Cricetulus griseus: one gene and its partners. The protein of the gene in region 7 interacts with the protein of the main gene of each other region in a pairwise test. Links are inferred from orthologs where the notes say so. Each region holds a gene or a part of one and is shown on either strand. Other genes may lie near its edges. The genes, in order: Gpatch2l, Meox2, Zbtb8a, Csnk2a2, Ehhadh, protein FRA10AC1 homolog and Trim41.

Evidence for each region.
Region 1: the proteins of Trim41 (region 7) and Gpatch2l interact in binary tests that used the Homo sapiens proteins (3 or more experiments, as listed by UniProt). The two-hybrid records come from large-scale screens. The link is inferred for Cricetulus griseus from reciprocal best matches to the Homo sapiens genes TRIM41 and GPATCH2L.
Region 2: the proteins of Trim41 (region 7) and Meox2 interact in binary tests that used the Homo sapiens proteins (3 or more experiments, as listed by UniProt). The two-hybrid records come from large-scale screens. The link is inferred for Cricetulus griseus from reciprocal best matches to the Homo sapiens genes TRIM41 and MEOX2.
Region 3: the proteins of Trim41 (region 7) and Zbtb8a interact in binary tests that used the Homo sapiens proteins (3 or more experiments, as listed by UniProt). The two-hybrid records come from large-scale screens. The link is inferred for Cricetulus griseus from reciprocal best matches to the Homo sapiens genes TRIM41 and ZBTB8A.
Region 4: the proteins of Trim41 (region 7) and Csnk2a2 interact in a two-hybrid assay, tested with the Homo sapiens proteins (3 studies listed by BioGRID and IntAct). The two-hybrid records come from large-scale screens. The link is inferred for Cricetulus griseus from reciprocal best matches to the Homo sapiens genes TRIM41 and CSNK2A2.
Region 5: the proteins of Trim41 (region 7) and Ehhadh interact in binary tests that used the Homo sapiens proteins (3 or more experiments, as listed by UniProt). The two-hybrid records come from large-scale screens. The link is inferred for Cricetulus griseus from reciprocal best matches to the Homo sapiens genes TRIM41 and EHHADH.
Region 6: the proteins of Trim41 (region 7) and protein FRA10AC1 homolog interact in binary tests that used the Homo sapiens proteins (3 or more experiments, as listed by UniProt). The two-hybrid records come from large-scale screens. The link is inferred for Cricetulus griseus from reciprocal best matches to the Homo sapiens genes TRIM41 and FRA10AC1.

What each region holds. Positions count from the first base shown.
Region 1 is NC_048598.1:117,537,320-117,541,324, reverse strand, and holds part of Gpatch2l (G patch domain-containing protein 2-like), read left to right. Parts: intron 1-561; coding exon 562-599; intron 600-924; coding exon 925-1,010; intron 1,011-4,005.
Region 2 is NC_048598.1:164,534,905-164,539,033, reverse strand, and holds the end of Meox2 (homeobox protein MOX-2), read left to right. Parts: intron 1-3,325; coding exon 3,326-3,550; downstream 3,551-4,129. UniProt on the Homo sapiens protein: Mesodermal transcription factor that plays a key role in somitogenesis and somitogenesis and limb muscle differentiation. Required during limb development for normal appendicular muscle formation and for the normal regulation of myogenic genes.
Region 3 is NC_048595.1:23,683,790-23,686,771, forward strand, and holds the end of Zbtb8a (zinc finger and BTB domain-containing protein 8A), read left to right. Parts: intron 1-999; coding exon 1,000-1,332; 3' UTR 1,333-2,074; downstream 2,075-2,982. UniProt on the Homo sapiens protein: May be involved in transcriptional regulation.
Region 4 is NC_048596.1:171,643,649-171,647,653, forward strand, and holds part of Csnk2a2 (casein kinase II subunit alpha'), read right to left. Parts: intron 2,301-4,005; coding exon 2,217-2,300; intron 1,512-2,216; coding exon 1,401-1,511; intron 882-1,400; coding exon 780-881; intron 130-779; coding exon 29-129; intron 1-28.
Region 5 is NC_048597.1:67,141,213-67,145,872, forward strand, and holds the start of Ehhadh (peroxisomal bifunctional enzyme), read left to right. Parts: upstream 1-1,417; 5' UTR 1,418-1,976; coding exon 1,977-2,050; intron 2,051-4,660. UniProt on the Homo sapiens protein: Peroxisomal trifunctional enzyme possessing 2-enoyl-CoA hydratase, 3-hydroxyacyl-CoA dehydrogenase, and delta 3, delta 2-enoyl-CoA isomerase activities. Catalyzes two of the four reactions of the long chain fatty acids peroxisomal beta-oxidation pathway.
Region 6 is NC_048596.1:23,571,774-23,575,778, forward strand, and holds part of protein FRA10AC1 homolog, read left to right. Parts: intron 1-1,600; coding exon 1,601-1,696; intron 1,697-1,824; coding exon 1,825-1,870; intron 1,871-4,005. UniProt on the Homo sapiens protein: May be involved in pre-mRNA splicing.
Region 7 is NC_048600.1:63,465,259-63,469,263, reverse strand, and holds part of Trim41 (E3 ubiquitin-protein ligase TRIM41), read left to right. Parts: intron 1-1,804; coding exon 1,805-2,035; intron 2,036-2,532; coding exon 2,533-2,555; intron 2,556-2,775; coding exon 2,776-2,903; intron 2,904-3,260; coding exon 3,261-3,862; 3' UTR 3,863-4,005.

The DNA of each region.
Region 1 (4,005 bases), on a different chromosome or scaffold from region 7:
CAAAGGCAGGATTTATGGCCATCTTTTGCGCTACTTCTGCTATGTACAAGTGAGGAACAACGCATCATGGGTTTTAACTATTTTCCTGAAGTTGCTGAGCTATGTGTATTAGCTAAGTTTCTGTTCTTTTAAGTACGTTTGAAGTTACCACTCAAGTTCTTTCAGTCTTAATTCATAAAGTTAACCATTTTTCAAAGGACTGTTTATTGTGGGAAAGTACAAAGAAGGCTAGCAACCATAAAGTGAGGTGCTTTGTACACACTACCCCGTTTGATCCTCAGTTCCTGTTTGGTTCTAGGATGCACTGCCCTCTCACCATCTTAGTCACCTTTTAGGGTCAATAAGTGAGAAACTGAAATCACTTTAGGACCTGAAAAGCAGTATTTGAGTTAGCCCTGCCAGTAACCCTGTTGTAAGACTAGTAGGATGGCCAGTGATACACCCTGGAGAGGAATCTAGTGAAGGTCAGAGGTGATGCAACTTTTAAATGTAAGCAACTCAGTGGTGCATTCAATTAGGCATTCTAACTCTAGGCACCTTCTGTTTACACTGTGCTTATAGTGTGTCCTGGGATGTGCTGTGCAGTTGTCCTTGAAAAGGTAATTTCATGCTAGTCCTCTTGGGAAAAGACTGATACATAGTGGATAATCACTAAGTGTAGGTTCTCAGACTGTCCATTAAGAAATACTGTATTTGGCCATTTAAGTGATTATTGCATGAAAATTTTGCTTGACAAGGAATAGTTTTGTTTGCTATGTGCTGGGAAATTATGGACATAAAGTTAGACATGCACAACTTTATTGAATGATATTGATGTTTATGGCAGAAGGGTTGGACATAGTCAAAGAGAGCATGTAGGCTGCTCTTTGGAATCAGGTCTCTTTCATTTAAGCTATACTGAAATAATCTGATTTATCCCCACAGTTTAATCCTCTCTCTCCTCTTTACTCCCTGGATGTTCTTGCTGATGCTTCTCATCGAAGGTGTTCCCCTGCACACTGCTCTGCCAGGTAATTGGCTCCCAGCGGTGATTATGTTCTTTTGGAAAGTGCTGTGTTCCTTATCATAACACTTGAGATTGTGTGGTATTATGTGCACAGGATCTGATTTGATCCTTAGAACAACCTTTAGAAGTAAGTCCATGTTTCACAGATGTGGTAACAGGCTAAGAGTGGAGGAATTTTTCCTGTGATCACATGGTCGTGTCTTCTGGCTCATATTTTGTATTATTTCTGCGGCTAAAAGCCCATCTTCAAAGAACAGTATTAATGTCCCTTGCCATGACCTGCAAAGCCCTGCATAATCTGATTTCCGCCAACATGGCCAACTTCCTTTCCTACAGTCCTGTCTCTTCTCTGAGCGGAAAGATCTAGCAGTACCAGGGAGCTCCATTTTCTTTTTTCTTCTTTGAAAATGGCAGACCTTTGCTCTCATTCTTGTTGTCTGGAAACCTCTTTGCACCCCTGGATAAGGGGTCATCTACAGCACCATCTGTTTCCTCCATAGGTCTTACCATTGTCTGTAGTGAATATGTGTACTAGTTTATTTAAAATTCCACCTCTACCCTATTGTCTTTCTCTAGAGTGCAGAGACCTTGTCTGATTCCCTAATAAATCTCAGCATGTGCATCTGGCACTTGTTAGGCATTCTGTATGTATATGTCACATTTGTCATTATGGATTCCCTTAATTCAGGTATGGTGTGATGATGGCACTTCTTAGCAGTGTTATTGTGCACAGAACAGCTAACAGTCTGGACCAAAGAACTCTTGTTAGTTTTGGTAGCATGAAGAATTTCTTCTCCAAGGTTCTGATGCTTTTTGTTTGGTTGGTTTTTGTTTTGGTTTTTTGAGACAAGCTCTCACTTTTGCTATGTAGCTCTGACTGTCCTGGAACTATGTAGACTAGGCTGGCCCCAAACTCACAGATCTGCCTGCCTCTGCCTCAGAAGTGGTGGGAGTGAAGGGGGGTTACACTACACCCAGCTTCTGATGCTTTTTTATTAGTCACCTCATAAGTAAATGTGCTCATAGACTTGTGCTTTAGCTGCACAAAGAAGTAGCTGTTCTTTGGGCATAGTTACTAAGAGTTAGGATAATGAGCCCTGTTGCATAACCTACTGCTAGATCTTTCTGCTGAAGAAGTATTTTAAGTCTTTTGAAAAGGAGAGGCCATTGTAAATAGTGTTGCCAAGATGTGGAATTGGGGCTTATACAAACTTCCATTGTAGGCCTTTACTCCTGTATCATACTGTTTATCATTCATCTATCCATTCATTCAGCATTTGCTGACTCTCTACTATGTGCAAAGACCTTTGTTTTTGTTTAGAACTGAAGCGCTCATGAGAAAATCAGATATAGAAACTGATAGCTATGATAAAAACTTGCGCCTGAAAGCCGTAACACACAGAGATGGAGTTCCTAATGCAGACCCATCGGGGGTCTAGATTTCAGTCCATAGAAGAACACCTCTGTGTTTTGTATACTATTTGTAGTAGCTGTTTGTGCTCTTTGGGAAGACCAGATGAGCAGTACCACATAAGTCCAGCATACAGAGTGGATTACTCCATCCTCCTCCTTCCATGTCTGCTACCTGGGCTACACTTAGGATAATAGCATTGGCATTTCTCTCTTCTTCATTAGAAGCCTCTCCCCGACTCTTCTGTGGCCAGTACCCAGAGCTAGATTCATGATACTTTGTGCATCTTGTTACTCTGTCATTATGGTTCCTCTCTTGACTGGTGGCATTTGTGGGTGGCCTTAGAAACATTAAAAATTCTCAGCCAAACTTCTAGTGTGTGCAGCTGTGTTACCGTTGCTTTGAGCTCTTGCTAGAAGCAAAGGAGAGAGAATAGAGGCCATTACCAGTTGTCTTTGTCTTGTCTTTAGGTAGCAGTCCCAGATTAGTAGGCTGGGTGCAGGTTCTTTGAAGTCGGGGCGGGGGTAGTTTGAGTTAACAGTTATTGTCTTATCCTTAAGTTTCTCTGTTTTAAGTTATATAACTCTGTTTGGCTTATACCACATGTGTGTGCATTGTATGTATAGTATCTTCTGCTTCCTTGCAGTTTTCACTTAATGAAGGACACAGGAAGATTTGAAAGGTGCTGTTCTGTAGAATGATTAGAGCAGGTGTCTTTGGTGCAGGTTTCAGAAAATACGAGTGAGAGTCACTGAGTTCTTAGGGATAGCTCTCAACCATTTATAGTGATGGGTCTCCATGCAGCAAGGTGTCATTGGAGCAGGACCTATCTAACTCTAGTTGGGGGACTTGTATGATGGGATTTGGAACCATGCAGAGTCTTTTAAGAAGAGTGGACCATTTAGCAGAAGCCTTGCATCAAGGAGAGGGTGTAAAGGAGCAGAGTGCTGGAGAAGAGGTAGCTGAATGACAGCATTACAAAGTGTTTCCAATGGAGATTTTATCTTTTTCTTGTCCCATTTTATTTGTAGTAAGAAGAAATTCTGTTCAAAGCATCTGGGCAGCACTGGGAATTTTACACCCATCATTAGAACGATTTGTGCGCGTGTGTGGTGACTGTGTTATCATTAGTGGTATAATTTTATTTTGCAAAGAGAGAAGTGTTTCCTGTTTTATCACAGCTTTCCCTGAGGAGGGCTGCTGTATTAATTTGCTGTATTGCCTCCTGGCTGTTCCCAGGCTGTTTTTCCTCTTCATCATGGAATTTTTAATGGCCCTCGTGCCTCCTGGGAAGCATGTGAGGAAGAGTTCCTCAGGGAGTGCTTCCCTTTTTTCACATGCCTATAATTACTCTCCTTTAAGAGCACAAAGAGTCTAATAATCATGCCTGGGCTCTGAAGGTTCCCTCCTGTCAGGGATCTGAGCGGAGCTACTTCCTTGCTGGACACTGCTGTCTGCACTCTGCTCGACTTCAGCATCTGAACATGGCCACCTCAAAAACCACATACAGCTTGGGACTTCAGAGTAAGCTGAGGCCACTGGGGTATGGTGAGTGACCTCAAGTACTGTAGGTTAGCATTTCAATATA
Region 2 (4,129 bases), on a different chromosome or scaffold from region 7:
CTAATAAAAGGCAAATGTCTACCTTTTGATTAGTGAGTTGTAATAGTATGTGGACATCTATCAGTGACTTTTTTTTGGTTTTTTGAGACAGGGTTTCTCTGTGTAGCTTTGGAGCCTGTCCTGGCACTCACTCTGGAGACCAGGCTGGCCTCGAACTCACAGAGATCTGCCTACCTCTGCCACCCGAGTGCTGGGATTAAAGGCATGTGCCACCAATGGCCGGCGTGATTCTGTATTCTTAAATAGATAAATATGTGCATGTACAATATATGATATATGATGATTTCCATGGTTACTTAAAGTGACACAAATGAAAGTCTAGAGATAAGATATATCTAATAATTCACTGTGCAAATGTTTGAAAACAGGCCACTAGCTTCAGTGTGTAATATTCAAACATCTTTGAAAGCTGAACACACATCTCATGATTTCCCCTGAGCACTGTGTATTAGTATAAATTCAGAATGTGACAAATGTTCAAAATAGTTTTGATAAATAAGAGTAAGGTATTTTTCTGTCAGATATGAAATATATTTTTGACAAAGGTGTAGGTAGTTGGTGAAGTCATAATGCTTACCATGAGTTATAACACAGGAAAAAGGGAGTCATGGGAAGTGGATGGTCTATTTATGCAAAAGAACTATAAAGTAATTGGATGCAAATGAGGAAAAAATACCTAACAAAAGAAGCAAAGGGATAATAAGCATGATAGTTTACTGTAGCAAAGATTATTTTTTAAAAGGCAAAATAAAAGCACAATCAGTAGTCATTTATTAGGAAAAATAATACAAACAAATCTAAACCTTGGTGAATATGTTAATCAGCATGAAATCATGACTGAGCCAACGAGGAAACTAACCTAGGGGAGCTTTCTATCATTGTACTGAGAATCATCATCACATTTGCTTCAGCCTTTCCATGAAGGGTCATCGTCCACCCAGGGAAGTCACAGGGTAAATGCTGAGAACTTTTATTGTGCCCGAATCTTGCATCCACTGTTAGATGGTGTTTACAAATTAGAAGTTAATAAAGGCAAGAGCACAAAGGGGGCAAGTAAGGAAAATCAGCTTCCTGTAGAACACTGAGAGAGCAAGTGCACAGCAATTATGCCCACAGACAGTCCCCAACTTGACAAAAGTAGGCTTGAAACTTTTCTTCATTCAAACTTTATTGTGGCATTATTCCATAAAATAAGAAGCCTTCCTGATCACTCATGTTCTCCTCTCCCTCCCCTTCTCCCTCCTTTTTCTTATCTCCGTCCTCCCACCCTCATGTTCCCAATTTACTCAGGAGATCTTGTCCCTTTCCCCTTCTCCAGGGATCATGTATGTCTCTCTTAGGGTCTTCTGTGTTTCCCAGCTTCTCTGGGGTTGTGGATTGTAAGCTGGTTATCTTTTGCTTTGTGTCTAATACACACTTATGAGTGAGTAAATACCATGTTTGTCTTTCTGTGTCTGGGTAACCTCACTCAGGATGGTTTCTTCTAGTTCCATCCATTTCAAGATTTCATTGTATTGTTTTGTTTTCCACTAAGCAGTACTCCATTGTGAAAATGCACCACATTTTTGTTATCCATTCTTTGGTTGAGGGGCATCTAAGTTGATTCCAGATTCTGGCTATTAGAAATAATGCTGCTATGAACATAGTTGAACAGATGTCCTTGTGATATGAATGTGCATCCTTTGTATATATGCCTAAGAGAGAAATTGCTGGATCTTGAGGTAGACTGATTCCCATATTCCTGAGAAACAATCATTCCGATTTCCAATGTGGCTGTACAAGTTTGCATTCCGACCAGCAATGGAAGAGTGTTCCCATTTCTCCACATCTTCTCCAGGGTAAACTGTCCTTGGAGTTTTTGATTTAACCATTCTGACAGACTCTGACAGGTATCTCAGAGTTGTTTTGATTTGCATTTTCCTGATGGCTAAGGATGTTGAGCAATTTCTTAAGTGCCTTTTGGGCATTTGACATTCCTCTATTAATAATTCTCTATTTGGATCTGGATCCCATTTTTAATTGGAATATTTGGTGTTTTGGTGGCTAGTTTCTTGATTTCTTTGTATATTTTGTAGAATAGCCCTCTGTCAGATGTGGAATTCAGCAAGGCCAAGTTGGGAGAAGAACAGAGAAGGACAGCAAGGAAAGAGATACCTTAATAGAGGGAGCCATTATGGGCTTAATGGGATGTCTGGCACTAGGGAAAACTCCAGGGATCCAGAAGGATGACCCAAACTAAGAATTTAAGGAATAGTGGAGAGGCTACCTTAAATGCCCTTTCCCTATAATGAGATTGATGACTAAATGCAGCCTTCATCCAGGAACTGATGGAAACAGAAGCAAAGATTCACTGCTAAGCACTGAGCTGAACTCCTGGAATCCAGTTGTACAGAGGGAGGAGTGATGAGAAAATGGGTCAAGACCATGCTGGGGAAACCCACAGAAACAGCTGACCTGAGCAAATGGGAACTCATGAACCCAAGTCTGAACCTAAGCAGGTCCCCGAACGTGGGTGTGTGTGGGGCAGTCTATGGGGCTTCTTGAAGTGGAACCAGTATTTATGCCTAGTGAATGAATGGTTTGGGGGAGCCCATTCTCTATGGAGCGGTACTTTCTCAGCCTAGATATACAGCGGAGGGCCTACGTCCTGTCCCAAATGATAGGACAGACTTTTATGGTCCCCCATGGGAGGCTTCATCCTCCCTGAAGAGTTGATGGAAGGTTGGTGGGTTGCAATGGGAAGACAGGAGGAAGAACTGAGGTTGGTATGTAAAATAAGGCTGTTTTCAATTTAAATGAAAATTAATTAAAAATCAAAAAGCATCTGGACTTTTAGTGAGGTGAATTATAATTTTTCCGTTGATGGGAATGTGTTTGCTGAGATTATTGCCATCACAAGTCAGAGGGTATTTGTAATGAATAGCACCCTTTCAGGGACAGATTTGTCACCAAATAAACCAGCATGAACTCTATGGCCAAGTCAAAGAAGAACTTCAGAGCATGGAGAAACATAGGGTCGTGATATATATTCGTATATGTAAACAAAATTGCAGAGATGAATATAATGAATATAATGTGTTCATTCATTCATAAACTTCAGCCTAGTGCTTGCAAACAAGCTTCTCCACCTCTTTCTATCTATTTTCATTTGTTAGAATTAATGAAGATTCTGTCGGGACTGTCTAAACATTTTCGATTTTCATGCACATGCAACCTGATTCAGTGCAAGGCTGAATGGTTTCCGTAATCATGACATCTGTGTGCAGGCCCTTGGGGATCTAGGTTTCATTACCTTCTTTGACTTATTTATTCCCTTTCCTTCCAGGTGAAAGTGTGGTTCCAGAACAGGAGAATGAAGTGGAAGCGGGTCAAAGGAGGACAGCAAGGAGCTGCAGCTCGGGAAAAGGAACTGGTGAATGTGAAAAAGGGAACACTTCTCCCATCAGAGCTGTCGGGGATTGGTGCAGCCACCCTCCAGCAGGCAGGGGACTCACTAGCAAATGATGACAGTCGTGATAGTGACCACAGCTCGGAGCATGCACACTTATGATGTATACAGAGACCAGCTCCATTCTCAGGAAAGCACCGTTGTGATGGCAAGCCTAACCCAAACATCGTTTACATGGCAGATGACTGTGGCAGTGTTGTTTAATATAATTAAATGCAGGCATCTCCAGTCTTGTTTCTCATGATTGATAGGTTTACACGAAGTGCCTCTTATGGAAGATGCTTCCTCAGTGAAATTGGAGAAGGTTAACGTATTCCAAATACATTTGTTCTATATATGACAGAGAGGGAGATGAGTGTTTGCTTTGGCGTTCACAGAAATTTAAATTGCTACCAAGAGCAAACTTGATATGAAGTTTTAATCAAGATGTCTCCAGAGTGAAGATGTTAAACATAAAAATGGTTGGAACTTTTAAGTTGTACTAGGTCATGTGTGTGACATTGGGCAGGTATTTGCTTTTGCTTGCACTGAAAATTAAACTGCTATTAAGTTAACCCATGAAATCGTTCATCCTGAACAGCCACAGTGCCTGAAATCACCAAGTGGATAGAAAATGTATTCAAACTCTGTATATACTACCCCTAAATCACTTTCCTGTCTTCACTAATTTTAGCAAATGCA
Region 3 (2,982 bases), on a different chromosome or scaffold from region 7:
ACGTGCAGGCAGAACACTGTATACAACTGCATACATAATAAAGCTTTTTTAAAAACTTAGTTTTAGCTCTCCCTCTCCTCTCTCTCTCCCTCTCCTCTCCCTCTCTCCCTCTCTCTAGAGCTAGAGCTACAGCTAGAGCTAGAGTTACAAAGGCAGCTGTGAGTTGCCCAGTGTGGGTGCTGGGAACTGAGCTCAGGTTCTTTGGAAAGACAATGTGTGTTCTTAACCACTGAGCCAATCTCTCCAGTCCTCTTTTTTTTTTAAAAAATAAATCTTTTAAAAAGCTTTTCTTTTTTAATTTTTATGTGTATGAGTGTTTTGTCTGCATATTGCATACTTATGCCTGATGCCCTCAGAAGCCAGAGAGGGTACTGGGTCTCCTGAAACTGAACTTTTAAATGGTTATGAGTAGATACCATGTAGATACTGAGAATTGACCCCAGGTCTCTGGAAGAGCAGCCAGTGTTTTTAACTGCTGAGCCATCTATCCAGCCTCCATCTAACTTTGTGGCTCACAACCATCTGCAATGAGATCTGGGGCCCTCTTCTGGCCTGCAGGAACACATGCAGACAGAACACTGTATATATAATAAAATAATTTAAAGAAAAACCTTATAGTCATTTTTAGAGAAAGCTGATATGTGATGTGTCCATGGTGTGCATTTGTCAATATCTTGGGATCTTTTCTGATAATTAGATCTTAACTTGAATTTAATGTATGGCTTTGAGCATCTGAAGAATATGAACTGGTCCCTAAAATAGCAAACTTGACACACTTTTGAAAATTTTATTTACTTATTTATTTATTGTTTTTTCAAGACAGGGTTTCTCTATGGCTTTGGAGGCTGTCCTGGAACTAGTTCTTGTAGACCAGGCTGGCCTCGAACTCACAGAGATCCGCCTGCCTCTGCCTCCCGAGTGCTGGGATTAAAGGCGTGCGCCACCAATGAAATGCCCAGCTGAAAACTTATTTTAATCACTTCTTAAATCTCTATACAGATCCATCAGGCATGCAAACTAATCTGCAGGAAATGCAAACGTCACGTGACTGACCTCACAGGCCAGGTGGTGCAGGAAGGAACCAGGCGCTACAGACTGTGTAACGAGTGCCTTGCTGAAGCTGGCATCGACAGCCTCCCTGTTGATCTGGAAGCTGAGCAACACTGCATGTCCCCCGCAGATGGAGATAAGGATTCGAGGTGGCATCTGAGTGAGGAAGAGAATAGATCCTACGTGGAGATTGTGGAGGACGGGTCTGCCGATCTGGTCATAAAACAGGTTGAAGATAGTGAGGAAGAAGAGGAGAAGGAAATCAAACCCAACATTAGGTAGCCTGAAGTGCGACTCCTCAGAGCTGGCCTGCCTGCAGTTTACATGGACGTCCTGTATCTCTCCATGGGCAGAGCCCGGTTAATGGATTTCTCCGGCTGGCTTAGAAGTGACCTGGTGTAACTTGCATGCTTTTTGAATAGGCCATTGTATCCACTCTGAACTTGGTTGCCCTGAACTATGTTGCTGCTCTGGGAAGACCTTGCTTGTATTGGCATGATGGATGATCAGTTACCCTTTCTGTTATTACACAGATGGCATTTTGTTTAAATATTGGAAAAATCTATTTAGCAAACATTTTTGAGTAAAATATTTTAAATTAATCTATCACAAAACTTTAAGACAATCTTTTCTATTATATTTTTATTGATTCATTTTGTTTTGGGGAGGAGGGGAGCCTGTGTTTGGAAGGAAGCCAGAAGAAAATCCTACCATGTGGGATGGAATTCTTGGTGGCAGGGCCCCTTACCTTCACCCACCAATAAACCTGCCTACAAAATGTTAATGTATTTTAAAAGCATGTATGTTATAATACTAAACCTCACAGGGAATCAGGCAAGACTGAATTTGGGAGTCTGGCTACCCAATTGCAGGCCCCAGCAAATGTATTAAAAATTTCAAGTCCAGGGGCTGGAGAGATGGCTCAGAGGTTAAGAGCACTGACTGCTCTTCCAGAGGTCCTGAGTTCAATTCTCAGCGACCACATGGTGGCTCACAACCATCCGTTATAAGATCTGGTGCCCTCTTCTGGTGTGCAGATATACATGGAAGCAGAATGTTGTATACATAATAAATAAAGTCTTTAAAAAAAAGAAAAGAAATCCTGAATATGTATTTATAAAAAAAATTTTTTTTCAAGTCCAGCTGGATGTTGGTGGGGCACGCCTTTAGTCCTAGCACTCGGGAGGCAGAGGCAGACGGATCTCTATGAGTTCGAGGCCAGCCTGGTCTACAGAGTGAGAGCCAGGATAGGCTCCAAAGCTACACAGAGAAACCCTATCTCGGGGGAAAAAAAAAAAAATTCAAGTCCAGGGGCTTTTAGAGATGGCTCAGCAGTTAAGAGTACTGTCTCTTTAGAGGACACATATTTGAGTCCCAGCACCCACATGGCATCTCACAACCATCTGTAGCTCCAGTTCCAGGGAGTCTTAACACCTATTTCTGATACGTGGGCATCAGGCACTCAAGTGGTGTATAAACATACATGCAGGTAAAACATAAAAGTTAAAAATTTTTTCCCCTGAACTACAAATTGACTTATAAGACAGCCATGGCTACACAGAGAAACCCTGTCTCATAATCCCAGCACTCAGGAGGCAGAGACAGGCAGATCTCTGTGAGTTCAAGGGTAGCCTGGTCCACAGAGCAAGTTCCAGGACAACCAGGGCTATAGGGAAACCCTGTGTTGAAAAGCAAAAAAAAAAAAAATTATTCTTGTGTGTCTGGAAAGATCTGAACACAAGAACACTAGCTGCTCTTTCAGAGGACCTGGATTGCTAACTCCAGTTCAGTGGACTCCAAGTCTTCATCTGGTGTTCCTGGGCACTGCATGTGTGTGGTATGCAGACATATATGTATGCCAAAAAACCATGCATTTTACTAAAGTGTTTCTCTTATGAGCTTATACTGTTGTAGAGATAGGATGGGGGGGGG
Region 4 (4,005 bases), on a different chromosome or scaffold from region 7:
CCCTCCCTCCCTCTCCTTTCTTACTTACTGTCCCAAGATATCATTGAAGTGTGGATCTAGGTCTATGTGGTACTTCTTCAGATATCCATACAGCTCATCTGTCCCCAGAACCTTGGCAATTCGAACAAGCTGAAACACAGAACAAAACTGACCCAACCACCAAGCACAGTGCTTTCTGTGAGCTTTTGTGGACACTGTGCTAGGCCTGGGAATCAGGAAATCCCATGCCACTCAAATCCCAAATGACTTAACAGAGACCCGAGTCTAGGATAAACAGAGACTTAAGAACACAACACTCACATGAATGCAAGTTTCTAAACTGCTTTAAAAAAAAAAAAAAAAATTATTATGTATATAGTGTTCAGCCTGCATATATCCCTGCAGGCCAGAAGAGGGCACCAGATCTCATAACCGATGGTTGTGAGCCACCATGTGGTTGCTGGAAATTGAACTCAGGACCTCTGGAAGATCAGTCAGTGCTCTTAACCTCTGAGCCATCTCTCCAGCCCCCTAAACTGCTTTTAAAGGGTTGATATAACTTAGATGCTAACATCTTTGGGGACACTGATCAAATAACTATAATGTGATTTTGTTAGATAAAGAAGTGCCTTACTTCTTAGACCCATCTTGAAAGTTCACTAGGCAGCATTGTCTGTCTCGGCATGCTTGGGGCCCTCATGCTCACTCATACAATTCTGAACAATCCTTTAGCTTACACAGTCCCCAGAGGCTATTTCCCTAACATTCATGACAAACAAGCAAGGGATGAATCTGCTCACCTGGTCATAGTTGTCCTGCCCATGGAAGAATGGCTCCTTTCGGAATATCATGCTCGCTAACATGCAGCCCAAGCTCCACATGTCTAAGCTGTAATCATACATCTGAATGCAGGAAGGATGATCCATCAGTCAAGGATAGTTAGACACTCATTGATTAAGTTTCTCATATCCATCTGACCTCTAGCTCTGACTTTTGACATCTGACCTCTAGCTCTGACTTTTGAGAGAGCCTTATACACATTAGGCAAACATCTACTACTAAGTTCCATCCTCAGCCTCTCTGCAATTACTCTGTAACTAAGTCACCGCACCCCGCCACCCCAAAAAGCCACCAAAAGACTCAGCTGGTAAAGGCTGTCAAGCCTACTAAACTAAGTTTAGTAACAAGAACCAATATGGTGGAGAGAACAAACACCTGCAAGTTGTCTTCCGACCTTCCCACATGGGCTGTGGCACATATACATACATGCATAAAAATAATTAATTTTTTAATGTTGCTGAGTAAAACCTTTAGAGTAGAATAACTGGGTTTTGAATGCATCCAAAGTGACCACACAGCAACCAGGAAAATTCCTAAGGAAATATAAAAATAGCTCTGCGCAGCTTCACTAATAAGTTCACCTGATAGTCCACAAGGAGCTCTGGTCCCTTGAAGTACCTCGAGGCCACTCGAACATTGTACTCCTGGGCAGGATGATAGAACTCCGCCAGACCCCAATCAATCAGTCGGAGCTATGAGAAAGACAAAGACCCAACAGAATGGGTAAGGTGCACTTTGAGATGCCATTGCCTATGACGAGGCCACACTGCATCTCTACAACAGGTATTCGGCCACACACAGTGTACCCAGGAAAAAGTTTACTTCAGAAACTGCAGATGAGGTCATTTATGGAGCACAGTACTTGGAATATATCTGAGTTTTTTCCCTTTTAAGTTATACTGTTTTTTTTTTTTTTTTTTTAATTTTTTTCTGGTCTCCATGCTACTTACATGTGGAACACATGCCCCCACCATTCATAGCTCTTAACATAAGCTCCAGGCACTAATGAAGGGCTTACGTGTGTGACCACGTAAGTCACACCCTTAGAGTGCTGCTCTAGTTGGTCACTAAGCTAACCCTGTCTATGACAACCAGAGTTGGAAACACCCAAGTGTATTTTTTTTAGGGCTAGTCTGACTGGTCTAATGCTCACGAAGAATCAAAGCAGAGACCACTGATGTAGTTTCTTCCTGAGGCCCTTTGAACACTAAAACCAAAATAAAACTAGTGACCAAAGTCAAGGTCTCTGTGTACTTCCTGGAGACTAGAGAAGTCAAAGTAATGCAGTCTACTTAAGAAATCAGTGTGGTCTACATACACCACAATGCTATTGGACAATGTTTAGGTTTTTCCTAAACCTTCAGCAAAGATTTGGTGCTGCCTGGCTGGATTGGTACCTTTTTTTGTTGGTGATCTATCATGACATTGTGAGGTTTCACATCCCTGTGCATGATTCCCTTGCTGTGGCAGTAATCCAGAGCCTAGTAGGTAAGAAAGCACAGAGAAAAGTAAGCAAACCCTCTACCACCCACAACGCAAACACATTTTTATTATTTGTGACACTTTAACTTGAACAGTCTCAAAAAAGGACAGCTTACTGCCTTTAAGGAGAGAAACAAAAAGATGCTCTCCGTGGACACTACAGCTGGCAGCCAGTGGAAAGGGGGCTGTCAATGATCATGCTGAAGGTTGCTTTAAAAAGAAGGGATGAGAGGCCAGAGTGTGGGACCTCAGAATCCATGTGGGCATGAAGAATGACACCTTAACGTATCTTAAAACAAGGCACACTTATGCTATGTGGGCTATGAGTTTTCCAGATAAGAAGCATTTACATTTTCCGTAAACATAAAACCTGAGCCAGCATTTAAGAATTATCATTACTATTCTAAAAGAGAAAACTACTTCCTGTAATAGAATCAAAAGGCTTTGTGGTGTTAAAAGCCAATGATCTTTAGTAAACTGACAGCTGTATAACCAAGTCACCATGTTTCAGAGCTTTTCAGCACCTTCACAGTTTCCTGGAGTTTGAGATAATGCCCACGCCAAGCTTCTTGAAGCCACTGGTGGATCGGGTATCTGTTCTAGAGATTTCTTCCTACCAGACATTCCTAATGCTACAGTACTTTGTTCACCTTTCTCACTGAGCTTATTTAATTTTGAGACTGAATCATTTATGAACTTACTAGTTTACTGACTTGGGTTGTTTCTACTTCTGGCTGTTGAGAACAATGCTGCAATGAATAACCATGTGTAAGATTTTTTTGGGAGTATGCAAACTGTGTGTAAGTTTTTTTAGGGGCAGAAGTGCCTTGTTGTATGTTAGCTTTACAATTTCTAAGGAACTGCCTGTTTTCTCAAGTCCAACACACAATGGTTCCAGTCTTTCCACATTCTCAACAACACTTGGCACTGTTCTTTTGTTTTTTCAAGACTGGGTTTCTCTATGTAACTCACTCTATAGACCAGGCTGGCTCTGACTTACAGAGATCTGCCTGCCTCTTCCTCCTAAGTGCTGGGATTAAAGGTATCCATCACCTTGAGACGGGGTTTCTCTGTCTAACTTTGGAGCCTGTCCTGGAACTTGCTCTGTAAACCAGGCTGACGTCGAACTCACCTGCCTCTGCCTCTCACGTGCTGGGATTAAAGTCAAGCACCACCACTTCCTGTCACTGTTCCTTTTTTAATTACAGCTATTTAGGTACGTTAACGTGGTATCTCATGTGTTTCTGATTTGTATTTCCTTATTAGTGATGAAGCAAATTATCATTACATGTTTATTGATCATTCTATATTTATATTGCCTTTGAAGAAATGTCTCAATTAATAAGCCCTTTTCCTTTTGATTGTTACACAGATCAGTCAGGCTGCCCTCTCTCTGCACACAGATGACCTCAAAGTTGATATCCTGCCTCAGACTCCTGAGTGTTGGGATTGAAGGCATGCTCACTATATCCAGATTTTTTTTTTTTTTTTAAATCTAATACACTCCCTGACACCATCCAAACACTCACAGCTCTTAAGTCTTCTTTTCCATACATATCATGGGCCATCTTTGTGAACCCCAAAGTTAGACCTTTGGCTTAAAGAGCACTGGAAAGCTTCAAGAGGCCAGAAAATTCCTCATGTAGGGCTATCCTGCATTAAAGAATGTTCAACAGAACTTCTACTTAGTCTAGGTGTCAGCTG
Region 5 (4,660 bases), on a different chromosome or scaffold from region 7:
TTCCCATGGATAGAGACCTGCATGGGCCAGCAGGTAAAAGTCCAGGATTTTCTATAGGGCTCACCATTTACCCTCTGGGCACTGTAGCAGTTCCAGTGCTTAGAATGATTTCTTTGAAGCAGTAATGAACCTGAGATGAGTTCGGGAACTGGGGACTCAAGATAATGTAGTTGCTACAGTGAAAGCAATGTACTTAAGCAGAGGGCGACATGCAGATAGTGTGCAGTGCTTACCCAAGAGGAATGAGATCCTGTGAAGTAGCCAAGCACTTCATAAGACAAGTAAAATAATAGGATATGGCAGATCAAACCAATAATCAAAAGACTATCAAATAGTCAAGCAGTCTTCAAACAGCAACACAGTTACTCATCCATGGACTAGCAAATTACACATCCATGGACTCAGCAAATATGGAACCCATGCATACAGTTTTGTACTAGCAGGAAAAGAAAAATCAACATGCTACCACCCAGCTGTATCCGATGGTCTCTCAATGTGCTACATTTACAAAGGGACTAATTGATAGGACTGTGGGTGATCCTGTTGTTGAGGCATAGCACTGGGTGAACCTGATAGTAACTGCCCTTTGAACTTTGTCCCTTGAAGGTCTCACTTGCCTCACATAGGTCCTGTCCCTGTTGAGTCGCCAACTCTAAACACCCAAGCAGTATATTAGATTTACATAGAAGCTTACACCCAGATCCCACTGTGGGAGCCACAGCAGAAAGCTCTGGGCTCAACTAAAATAAAAAATGTAGAGACACGATGGCCAGTGACTGATTCCTACAAGATGAAGAGGACAAAGTGTCACAAGCTGGCTCCAAATATGCTTATCTTCCCCTGCTCCAAGGCGGAGGGGTGCAATAAGGCCAGTCAGTGCTATTAAACCTTGAACTCTACCTGTTCAAGTTCCTAGGATACTGTGGCCGAGTGTGTTCTCCTAGTTACCAGCATCTGAAGGGGGACAAAGCTGAAGCTACTGCTCCTGTAGGCGGGGAGAACTGGGCTGGCCATGCAGACTCTCTCCAACAGAACACACTAGGAGAGTTTGGGGACTAGTTAGTCTACAGATTAGGCATGGTTTGAGAGGTAGTAGATAGAGATTCCCGACGTTTGTCTGAAGCCGCTTGCTCCCATGAGGCTGTTGTCATCGCTGACACCTGAAGGAGTGCTTTGGGTGATGGGCTGTCCTTGACATGTGGGGGCTCCCATGCCTCTGAACGCAACTTGTTACCAGGGCTTCCAGGGCACTCAGGATTTTTCTACTAACTAAACCCTTTCTTAATTTCAAGAAGTAAAGAACATGTCTGGAAATAATCTTTCGACCTTGTTAAAACTTGGGAAACATCAGTGAAGATTTACGTGTGTGTGTGTGTGTATGTGTGTGTGTGTGTGTGCGTGCGTGCGTGCGTGCGTGCGTGTGTGTGTGTGTGTGTGTGTGTGTGTGTGTGTGTGTTTCTTGTCCACCTGTACACTGTCTTCTGGCTACTTGGTGGGCTTTGGCAACCATGAAAAACATGCACATCGGAAGGACCCTGTCCAGGCTGAGCTTTGAGAGGGAAGAAACAAGGCATGGCTTATTGTCAGTATCCAGCCTACGTCCAGCTCATAATAGGTGTGCAGTTCATGGATGAAGTATGAGAAATCCCAGCCCTTAGACGGGGACAGAACCAGAGAGGAACAGGCAGACCGGGCACTCGGGGCTTCGTGCCGGGGCAGATGATTGGTTTCGGAACACGTGTTTGACTCCAGTTGTGAGACCCAGCAGCTCAGCATGCCTTTCGACATTCTGTCTGCTAGCCTAGGAGGACTACCCTTCCCTGGAGCGCAGCCAGCATTGGGGAGCATGTGGTGCAAGGGGCAGGAGGCGGTGGCGGCGACTCCCATTGGTCCAGCGCGTGCCCCTCCTCTCGGAGCGGCCCAGAAAAGAACTCCCGGCTGTCCCAGACATCAGAGGTGCAGGATACCTTGAGAAAATGGCTGAGTATCTCAGGCTGCCTCACTCCCTGGCGATGATCCGCCTCTGCAACCCTCCGGTTAACGCCATCAGGTAACAGCACCGGGTCAGGGGGTGTGGCGGGTCTGGGTCGGGGCTCTCCTCCCTAGAAGGACCTGCCAATGAGCAGCTGGCTCCGGCCTTCCTTATGTCCGCTGTCAACCTCACAGCTCGCTCAAGTCTGCTTGGTTCTAGTGGTTCAGGAACCTACAGAGGCGTGGCTTTCTGCAACCCTACTTCGGGCTAGCAACCCTAGCTTCTCTGTGTGAAGCCCAAAGCTATAGTTACCCGACTCAGAGAGTGGGTCTCCAAGCTCCAAGCTCCCTGTCAGAGGAGGCTGCTGCATAGCATTTTCTGAAAAGCTGAAGTTTTGTTTACTTCATTGGCCATGCCCTGGGTGCAATGCCCTTAGCACATTGCTTTTAAAAGTGAGATCTGTTGTCTTTTTGGAAAATGAACAAGTTGACTTATCTTGTTCATTCCATATCACTGGCGAACAGAGTATAATTCTCTATTAGCCTCAGGAGGAATTACCCGTACGCAGACTGCCGAAGTGGTGGACGGGATCATGACCGATAGTGTGCAACATTTACCTGAGATGTTGCTAAAATCCCTTTCCTGGGGGAGACCTCCTACAGCCCAAAGGACAACCCTAGAAGCAATTCCAGACAAGTTCACTCTGGGGGGAACCAATGGGTTTATTCGGCCAACTTTCAGAACAGTGAGGGGGGAGCTAGGAGCAGAAGCATGGGTGGCCTTAGGGCAGCCACACTAGAAAGCAATCCTCCCTGGCAAAGACGACGAGTTCCGTTTGACTGTGCTGGAGTCTCCTCCCCTAATCCTTCCTACCTGTAGCCCTTCCCAGAGACCTGGAGGGGAGCTCCACTGCACAGACGCCCTCCCGCCCCCCCCCCCCTCTCTCCCCCCCACAGTTGCTTCTGCTCCTGTAACTTCGGAAGTGAGGGGTTGGGGCGGTGTGGGGTGTGTGTGAATCTTGCAACTCTCTGAGCTTCCTGGGCATCTTAAACATCGGTAAATTTATTTAGCTTCCAGAATCTTGTCAGTTTCTTCAGTTTCCTGAACCTTAGCCTTTCTCCTCCTTCAGGAAGGAATGCTTCAATCCCAGAAAAATAGCTGTGTAAAAGCAGAATAAATAAAGTGAAAATAGGTCATTTGGTGAAAATTCCCATCACAAGCTGCTGGAGCAAAACAAACAGATGCTGGGTTGGCACACACCTGTAATCGCAGCATTCAGGAGCCTGAGGCAGGAGGAAACATTGGTCTCAAAAACAAAACAAACAAACAAAAAACAGAAAGGAGGAGACATGTTCATTTTAAACCACACTGCCATTAGGTTTTATATTAAATTTTTTTAAAATTTATTTTATTTTATGTGTATGGGTGTTTTACCTGCACATATGTCTGTGAACTGCATGCGTGCCTAGTGCCCACGGAGGTCAAATTTTTATCCTTATTATTAATGTAATTTCTTTTGAGACAGGATCTTACTGTGTAGACCTGTCTGATCAGTGAACTAGGTGGGCCTCGAACTCACAGAGATCCACCTGCCTCTGCCTACCAAGTATTGTGATTAAAGATGTGTGCTACTAACCTGGTTTGATACTATCCTTATTTTAATGTGAAGGATTGCATTCACTAATACAAATGCAGTATGTATTGATAGAGTAATAGTATGCAGGAATAAAACCACACACATATGTATCCACTTGCTGGCCATTTGGGGGGGGGGTGGAAGTAAAATACTGATTATGTCCATTTCACAGTTGATCTCAGCCCAGAGACCAGGAAGTAGGTGCCGCGTGTGTTTTCACGAAGAAAGCATAAGCAATATGATTCCTTATCCACATGGGGTGTTTGCATACTGATATGGTTACTAGATAGAAGATTCTGCAGGGATGTCTATGTCCATCAAGAGGTGAGAGGGAATGTCCCAATCTCAGGTCCACAGTCAGATACGTTTCTAGTGTTTAACCTGCTCATTCCCTCCCCAATCTGGAGAAATGTAAGTACCTAACATAAAAAGTCCCATGGGTTAAATGAAATGGAGATTGTAAATGACTTTTACACTTGTGGTTCTCCTGGTATCTCTGAGCAGCCTGTGATCAGTCTCCTATCGTGGCCCCCTTTCTCAACATCTGCTTCAGCCTCGTGGAGATTTTTCATCTTGGACCCTGCACATTCCCATCTGTTTTACTTTGAAATTTAACGGCACGTAAATTGTTTACCAACTTAACAGCTTCCTTTTTTTTTTTTTTTTTTGGACCTTAATTTTTTTGTCCTCCCTCCTTTCCTTCTTTCTTTCTAATTTTACATAAGAAGTTATCTCTTTCTACATGAATGAGGTATGGTAACTTGTCTAATTCTCTTTTTTGACAATTAATTAAAATCCCTTGTTGCTGGAGTAGGCAGCCATGTATCCCTCCATTCTGGGAAACTAAAGTTTCTTCCTAACCACAGAGCATGGCTGATTATTGAGCTTGTCTCACAGAGTGATGGTTTTCAAGATTTTTTACTACTATAAGCTACCTAGTGAAAAAAAACCCTTAAATTTGAATTAAGTATATAAAATTTGAAGATGCATCATGCATGCTCAATGTTGAACTGAAAGAATTTTCTGAAATCTAGCCTATCCTCACATGTTAT
Region 6 (4,005 bases), on a different chromosome or scaffold from region 7:
TGTGAGGGGGTTTATTGAAAAGGATGGTGGGGAAAGGAAAGATTTCCCTATTGCATCTGTTTTGTTTGTTTGTTTTTCATTTGTTAAGACTATGCCTGCAAATGTCACAGCTTTAAAAGGAGTTTACTTGCAAGTGCTTGCCTTCCAAGCGAGGTCCATGTGGAGGGTGAATTGTAATTTAGAACAGTGGTGATGTTTACTTGAATAAGAAGGTCAATGGAGGGAACTGATGGGAAGTTTTATTGAATTGAGGGACCAAGATCTTCTAGCACAAAAGCCTGGGTGTCACAAGGAAGACATATTCTTTTGTTGTCATTTTTGTTTTCTGAGATGGTTTCATATGTAGTTGAGCTGGCATGGAATTCCCTATATGGCCCAGGCTATCCTAAACTCAATCTCCTTATCTTAGCTTCCCAAGTGCTTCGATTCCAGGTATGAGCTACCTGTCCAGCTGAAGGCTATATTTTCACCAAGTTGCTGTGTTTAGGGAGGGGCATTGATCTTAGGTTTCAGTGCTTAGAAACTTCATAAGTGTTAACGTCGGAGTGCTTGATTCGTACTAATGGAACTTAGAGAAATTGGTGTATTATTCCACAGTAAGACTAATATGTTTACTAACTAGGACTGAACATTATGAGATCAGTCTTCATGAATAACAAAAAGAATAGTAATAATTATAAATTAATATAACAATGTATGTTTTCTAGAGTTTCATTAAAAACATTACTTCCTGATCTGAGAATGTAATTAAGTTGGTAGAATGAGTGCCTAGGCTACATGAAGTCCCAAGTACAGTCCCCAAGAATAGAATTTGAGCAAATTTACTTCGGTACTATGGTCTAGGGTTCAGTTTATCTACATCATCAATAGGGTTGATCATTTGTGGTAAGTCTCCCTTATAGTCAAACTTTCTTTTCCATATTTTTTTTTGTTAAATCTTCATTATTCCTATTTTACAGATAAGTAACCTAATAATAAGATTAGGGTGGTAAATGATTGAGACAAGAACCTGCTGGTTAGAACCGGCCATTTTGTTTTGTCTTTTCCATTTTATAAGTATTAAATAGAATTAAGATTCAGAATGTCTCGTTAAAGATCAGCTAGTCTTTTAAAGTTAAGTCTCTAATTCTTTGAGCTGAGGTGTTAAGTTACTTTTCTTGTGAACCAGTACCTCACAAGAAACAACTGCACGGGGCTACAGTCGGGGAAGGGAAACACCTGGAGTCCGGGGCATGAAGGGGTACAGTCAGGGAGGGGAAACACCTGGAGTTGGGGTCACAAAGAGGTACAGTCAGGGAGGGGAAACACCTGGAGGCAGAAGCATGCAGTAGCTGGACATGAGTCTGTGTTCAGGAAACCAAGAGCAGCTATGAGTGAGGCCCAGGTTATAAAACCTCAATCCATCTGCAGTGATCCACTTCCCAGCAAGGCTCCACCATCCTGAAGCAGCTTACCCGTGGGGCCAAGTGTTCAGGTGTAGTCACAGGAAACTTTCACCTTCAAACTGTCACAGCTGAAATGCAGGTCACTCGTAGAATGCTTCTAAGCAATCCTGGGCATGTGAAAAATTAACACTTAATTTTTCTTTTTAATACACTAGGACAGTCGAAGATGAGTTGCTGCTTACAAAACCATTTCAAAAAGAAAAACATGGAAAGGTGGTCCATAAGCAAGTTGCGGCAGACCTGCTGGACAGGTGTGGTGTTTCGGTGTTAGGACATTCCTTGGTTTAAGCTGTTTTATAATCTCAGGACAAGTGGATCTGATTATGTTGGCAAAACATTGGATATTTGAATTTACGTTAACTTTTTTTTTTTTTAACAGGGAAGAAGCGAGAAATAGAAGGTTTCATCTCATAGCTATGGATGCTGTATCCTTTTTATAGTCCTGTCTTTATAACTGATAGACTATTTCAAAATCTGCTTGTTAACCGTGTTTTCTAATTTTTAAAAATCAAAATCTTGTCAAGTTAGATAGACCAGTTTTATATTTACAGGCTAGTATTATTACCATTTAGATTTTCAGCTATAATTCTCTATTGCTAATATATAGGAAAAATTTAGAGGTAAAATAATGAAAAATAGTAGGTTTCTTTTTTTTTCCCTATAAATAGACTTAAAAAGTTCATGAACTTGGAGATGTTCCAGGCTGTTCTTGTCAGGCTTTCAAAATTTCCCTTTTCTGTTCCTGTCTTCTGTAATATCATTTTAATTTATTCACTTCACACCTGGTTCTTCACTATTTTAAATTTTCTGCAAAGCTTCTCTTTTAAAATTAAATCTGCCTGAGTGCCATCCTAGGCCTGCTGTCACTCTGTTCCTCAGGTGTGACTGGAGACTGTCTGGTCTGTGAGTCAGTCAGACTGGCTCATGGCACTGCTACACTGACATCACACTGTTGTGTCGATATTAGAGAATTGGAGAGGCCAAGCTGAGGTGTTTCTGTGTGTCCTCTCCCAGGCCATTGGAAGCTTGGCTTAAACATATGTTCTCTCTTCTCTGACACCTTCATTGAGGGCGTTAGGAGAACAAAAGTATAGGTCCTATTTTTCTGGCATGGATGGCAGAGGACCCCAGTGTTTTTTTCTGGGATGTTTTGCTACAGAGGAGTAATTATGTTAAAAGTTAGTGGTCTTGCTGGGTGTGGTAACACACACCTTCAATCCCAGCATTTAGGAGTCAGAGGCAGGCAGATCTCTGGATTTGAGGCCCGCATGGTTGAGGCCAGCATGGTCTACATAGCAAGCTCCAAGCCAACCAGGGTTACATGGTGGGACCCTGTCTCAAACAAACAACAACAAAAACAGTTAATGATCGTCCTAGAATGACTCTTAGCCTTTTAAAGGTGAGGGAGAGTGGGCTGTTGTTAGGCAGAGCAGGGTGCTGTTAGGGAGAGTTGGCTGTTGGTGAGGGCGAACAGGTTGTTAGGGAGAGCACGCTGCTGTTGTAATTGTTTCAGTGCATGCTTATTAGTGTTTTCAAGTTGCTAGCCTCACTTCTAAATCTGGGATAGATGAGGCAGAAAGAAAGCTTGGGGAATATAGTTCAGCATAAGGACAGTTCCTGGTGTGTCTTTCAGTCACCACCTTTCACAAGCTTGTATTTGTTTTTAGATATAATGCCTAAAGTTGGAGTTGTTAGCATAAGGAATAGGGAGAAGTGTGCCTTTGCTTGTCTCCCACTGACGTGTTTTTGCCCTAGAAGAAGTTGTGTTGAACGCAACCCTGCCTGCTGCTTTTGACTGCTTCATGTTATACTAGTAGAGCTCAGCAGTAACAGCAGAGACATGAAACTGAAAAGCCTGAAGAACTTGTCACCTAGATCCTTAGGGGAAAATTAGCTGCTCTAATAGCATGCCCAGTTAGTGGTAGTTGAAGAGTTTGAACCCAGGCCTTGAGATATTTGGACTCCCCCATCTCAATTTCATGTTCTGATTGTCTCTTAGACTACAATCTGATCAGTGAAATCACTGTTTCTTAAGAAAGTGGTCACAGAAGTTGAGACAGCTCAGACTGCATGTGTTTGAGTGTGGAGACTACTACCAAGGTTTTAAAAACTGAACATTAAATATTCATGTCTTGTTACAATGCATGGAAAATATACATGGCTTGTGTTTTCTTTGAATATTAAAGTTGAAAACGTCCTTAGTTTATTTATTTCATTTCTGTTCTTCTCTTTTCAAGGCACTGCCTGACTCTGTGGCCCAGGGTGGCCAAGAACTCTTGTTGCTCGTCTTGCCTCAGCCTCCTGAATGCTGGTATTATAGGTGTAAGCCACTATGCCTGCCCTTCTGATTTCTTGTTTGCTTTTTGAAACCTCAATGTTGTTGGGGCTTAATTTTATAAACATTATATACTATTTTTATATACCTTATCATTAATTATTATATTTTGTAATAATAAGTGATAAATTCTACTTTTTAACCTTTAATTTAGATGCCACAATTTCTTTATTTGTAATAATATTAGACTGAATGAGAGAAGGAGGTTGAGTATAATCTAGGAAC
Region 7 (4,005 bases):
CCCAAACAGTTCTACCAACTGAGGACCAAGTATAAGCCAAGTATTCAAATATATGAGCTTATGGAGAGTCATTCTCATTTAAAACACCACAAGTATAGCTATTTGGTAGTATTTACATTGTAGTGGGTATTATGAGACATTTAAAGTATATGGGAGGATATGCAGTTATTATGCCATTTTTTTTTTTTTATTATGCCATTTTATATAAGGGATTTCCACATCTGCTGATTTGGGTCTCCTGAAACAAACCCACTTGAATATCTAGAAACAACTGTACCTACAAAGCATTTTACCTTTTGGCCCCTAAGTGTATAATACTTGCTGTTTGCACCTTTACTGAAGAGTTTGTAAAGGGTGTGAATGACTTCTCCTATGGCAGCTGAGACTACTGAGAGTCAGGATTTAATTTTGTAGCATCTTCCTTTCATGTTTTGAGACAGGATATTATATTGTAGCCCAAACTGGCCTCAAATGTGGAATAATTCATTGTTTCAGCCTCAAGAATATTGGTATTATAGGCATGAGCCCTCATGTCCAGCTTTACTTCAAGTCTTGCTTCCTAAATTCTCTTATTTGTTAATTCCAAAAAATTCTTACCAAATACCTATACACTATGGTTGGCACTATGCCGGCCTTTGGTGGCACTGTGGCAAACAAAGGCATGCATAGGTCCTATTTGTGAGAGGTATGGCATAGAAGAGGATAATAAAAAGAAGATAATATTAAGCTAGGCATGCAGCTTATATCTTTTTTTTTTAAGATTTGTTTATTTATTATGTATACAGTGTTCTGTCTGCACATGTGCCTGCACACCAGAAGAGGGCATCAGATCTCATTACAGATGGTTGTGAGCCACCATGTGGTTGCTGGGAATTGAACTTAGGACCTCTGGAAGAGCAGCCAGTGCTCTTAACCACTGAGCCGTCTCTCCAGCCCACAGCTTATATCTTTAAACTAGCAAACTGGAGGTTGATGCCAGAGAATTGTGATTTTTGAGGCCAGCCTGGACTTTTGTCTCAAAAACAAAACAACTTTGCTGGCAAGAGGACTCAGTAAAGGAGTCTGCCATCAAGTTTGATAATGATAACTTGAATTTGATCCCAGTTACTTACGTGGTGGAAGGAGAAAACCAACTCCTGCAAGTTGTCTTCCGACCTCCATACATGTTCCCCCAGCCCATCTCCATTATAACATAGCATCTCCAATACAGTGATATGGAGTTGGTGCTGCACAGATCTGGAGAGAAGCTTCTTTAGAACATGTTAGCTTCCATTTAAAGAGTAAATTAGTTAGGGCAGAGAGAGATAGGTATTCCAGAAAGGAATTGGTGACTTTGGACCAGTGTGCCAGGTTTGCGCTATTGCACTGGCACATAAGACTGAGATGGGGAAGGAAACTTCTCTTTCCATTCTCAGAACTTCTTTGCCTGAGATTGAGAGTTAGCAGATAGAAAACTGCAACTATACCTTTCTGTGTATTCAGGTGGTGGCCTCCATTCCCTTTGCAGCTCTCCATTTGTTAATTTTTAAAATTTTACTGTATGGGTGCTTTCCGTGTGTGTGTGTGTGTGTGTGTGTGTGTGTGTGTGTGTGTGTGTGTATGTATGTATGTATGTATGTATGTATCCATTGCATGATTGGTGATCACAAAGGTCAAAAGAGAGCATCACTTCTCCTGGAACTGGTTACAGATGGTTGTGAGCTGCCACGTGGATGCTGAGAATCAAACTGTGGTCCTCTGGAAGAATAGACAGTACTCGTAATCAGTGAACTATGTCTTCATGCCTGCCTTTGCATCTTTTCAGAGTCAGATGAAGTCAGAACTGGCAGCTGTGGCCTCAGAGTTTGGGCGACTAACACGGTTTCTGGCTGAAGAGCAGGCAGGACTAGAGCGGCGCCTTCGAGAGATGCATGAAGCTCAGTTGGGACGGGCAGGAGCAGCAGCGAACCACCTTGAGGAGCAAGCTGCCCAGCTAAGCCGCCTGCTTGCTGAAGCCCAAGAACGGAGCCAGCAGGGGGGCCTGCGGCTGCTGCAGGTAAGCACTCTTGCCTCTGCCCTGCTTCATACTCCCCAGCTCCCTTTTTGTCCTATTAGGCAGTGCTCACCAGCCACTGCTCAGAACTGTCTGTTCCTCACTGGAAAGAACCCTAATTCTTTTAATCTGAAGATCAAACTTTTTCTTTCTTTCTTTTTTTTTTTTTTAAATATTGAGTATGATGCATGTGCCAGTCATACCTATAGAAGGCAGATTCAGTTGTTAGAAATAGGGGCTTAAGAGTTGATAGCTTGAGGAAGGTGTCTGGGTCAGATTGTGAAAATTCTGTTACTGGGGCTTACCGCAGGATGATATATTAGGTCTGGTGGTCAGGGTAGGTGAAGAGTGTTCATGTTTATTGTGATCCGGGAAGGTGCTGCTTTCTCCCTTCCTGTTGAAGCTCAATCTTTCTTTAGGGGACTGGGAGAGAGCAGTGAGCCTTGTGCAGCTGACACTTTCTCTTTTTCCCTCTCCCCCCTTTTGTCTTTTGTTCCCAGGACATCAAGGAGACTTTCAATAGGTATGTTACCACTCTACCCTTTGTGACCCAGTAGTGTTTGGGTCCCCACTCTTGCCTCTCTTGAGACTCCCTTCCTCCCTCCCTGTCTTCCCACCCTCTCCTTCCCTTCCTCCCAGGACCTAAGTTCCTGCTTCTTAGACCCTCCACTTCACCGCCCCCCCTTGGCTTTTGTTCTGGGAATATCATGTTCCCACCCCCTACCTGGTCCCCCCTCCTCCAGGTGTGAAGAGATACAGTTGCAGCCCCCAGAGATTTGGTCCCCTGACCCATGCCAACCCCATAGCCACGACTTCCTGACAGATGCCATCGTGAGGAAAATGAGCCGAATGTTCTGTCAGGCTGCAAGAGGTAGGGAGGTCAATAACCTTCCTTTGCCTTTCTTCTTACAGACCCGAGTTGAGGTTGAGGGAAGTTTGGGTAGCTGGGATGGAGTAGACTACTGGTGGCTACTCTGAGGGTTCAAGCCAAGAGTTGTTTCTATGGTGGCCCAGCTGTTTTTGGTAGGTGAGGTGCACAAAAAGCGACAGGGGAAGGCTGGCAGGTGGTAGAATTAGGATGAATGTTAGAACCCATAGATCCGGAGCTTGGCCCCCAATATGGGCTGAGAGCTTAAAGAGTTGAATGGGATTGGAGGGGATTATAGAGATGAGCCTGTGAGGGATAAGGTGTTTTAGCTCTGCTATATTCATCTTTCCTCTTTCCAAGTCGATCTGACGCTGGACCCTGACACAGCTCACCCAGCCCTTATGCTGTCCCCTGATCGTCGTGGGGTCCGGCTGGCAGAACGTCGGCAGGAGGTTCCTGAACATTCCAAGCGCTTTTCAGCTGACTGCTGTGTACTAGGGGCCCAAGGCTTCCGTTCTGGCCGGCACTACTGGGAGGTAGAGGTGGGCGGGCGGCGGGGCTGGGCAGTGGGTGCTGCCCGTGAATCAACCCATCATAAAGAAAAAGTGAGCTCTGGGGGGTCCTCTGTTAGCAGTGGGGACGCCAGCTCCTCACGCCATCACCATCGCCGCCGCCGGCTCCACCTGCCTCAGCAGCTTCTGCTCCAGCGGGAAGTGTGGTGTGTGGGTACTCACGGCAAACGATACCAGGCACAGAGCTCAACAGAGCAGACACTGCTGAGCCCATGTGAGAAACCACGGCGATTTGGCGTGTACCTGGACTATGAGGCTGGGCGCCTAGGGTTCTATAATGCGGATACCCTAGCCCACGTCCACACCTTCTCAGCTGCCTTCCTTGGCGAGCGTGTCTTCCCATTCTTTCGGGTGCTTTCCAAGGGCACCCGCATCAAGCTCTGCCCTTGATCAGCCTGCCACCCGCAGGGGCCCCTCCAGTCACTGCTGGGGGGGCGGGTGGTGGTGGATGATTGCCCACTATGTTTGTGAGCTCAGGCTCCTCCCACTGTTTGTTACTGAGTTGCTTTCTGCTCCTCCTTGAACCCAGGCTG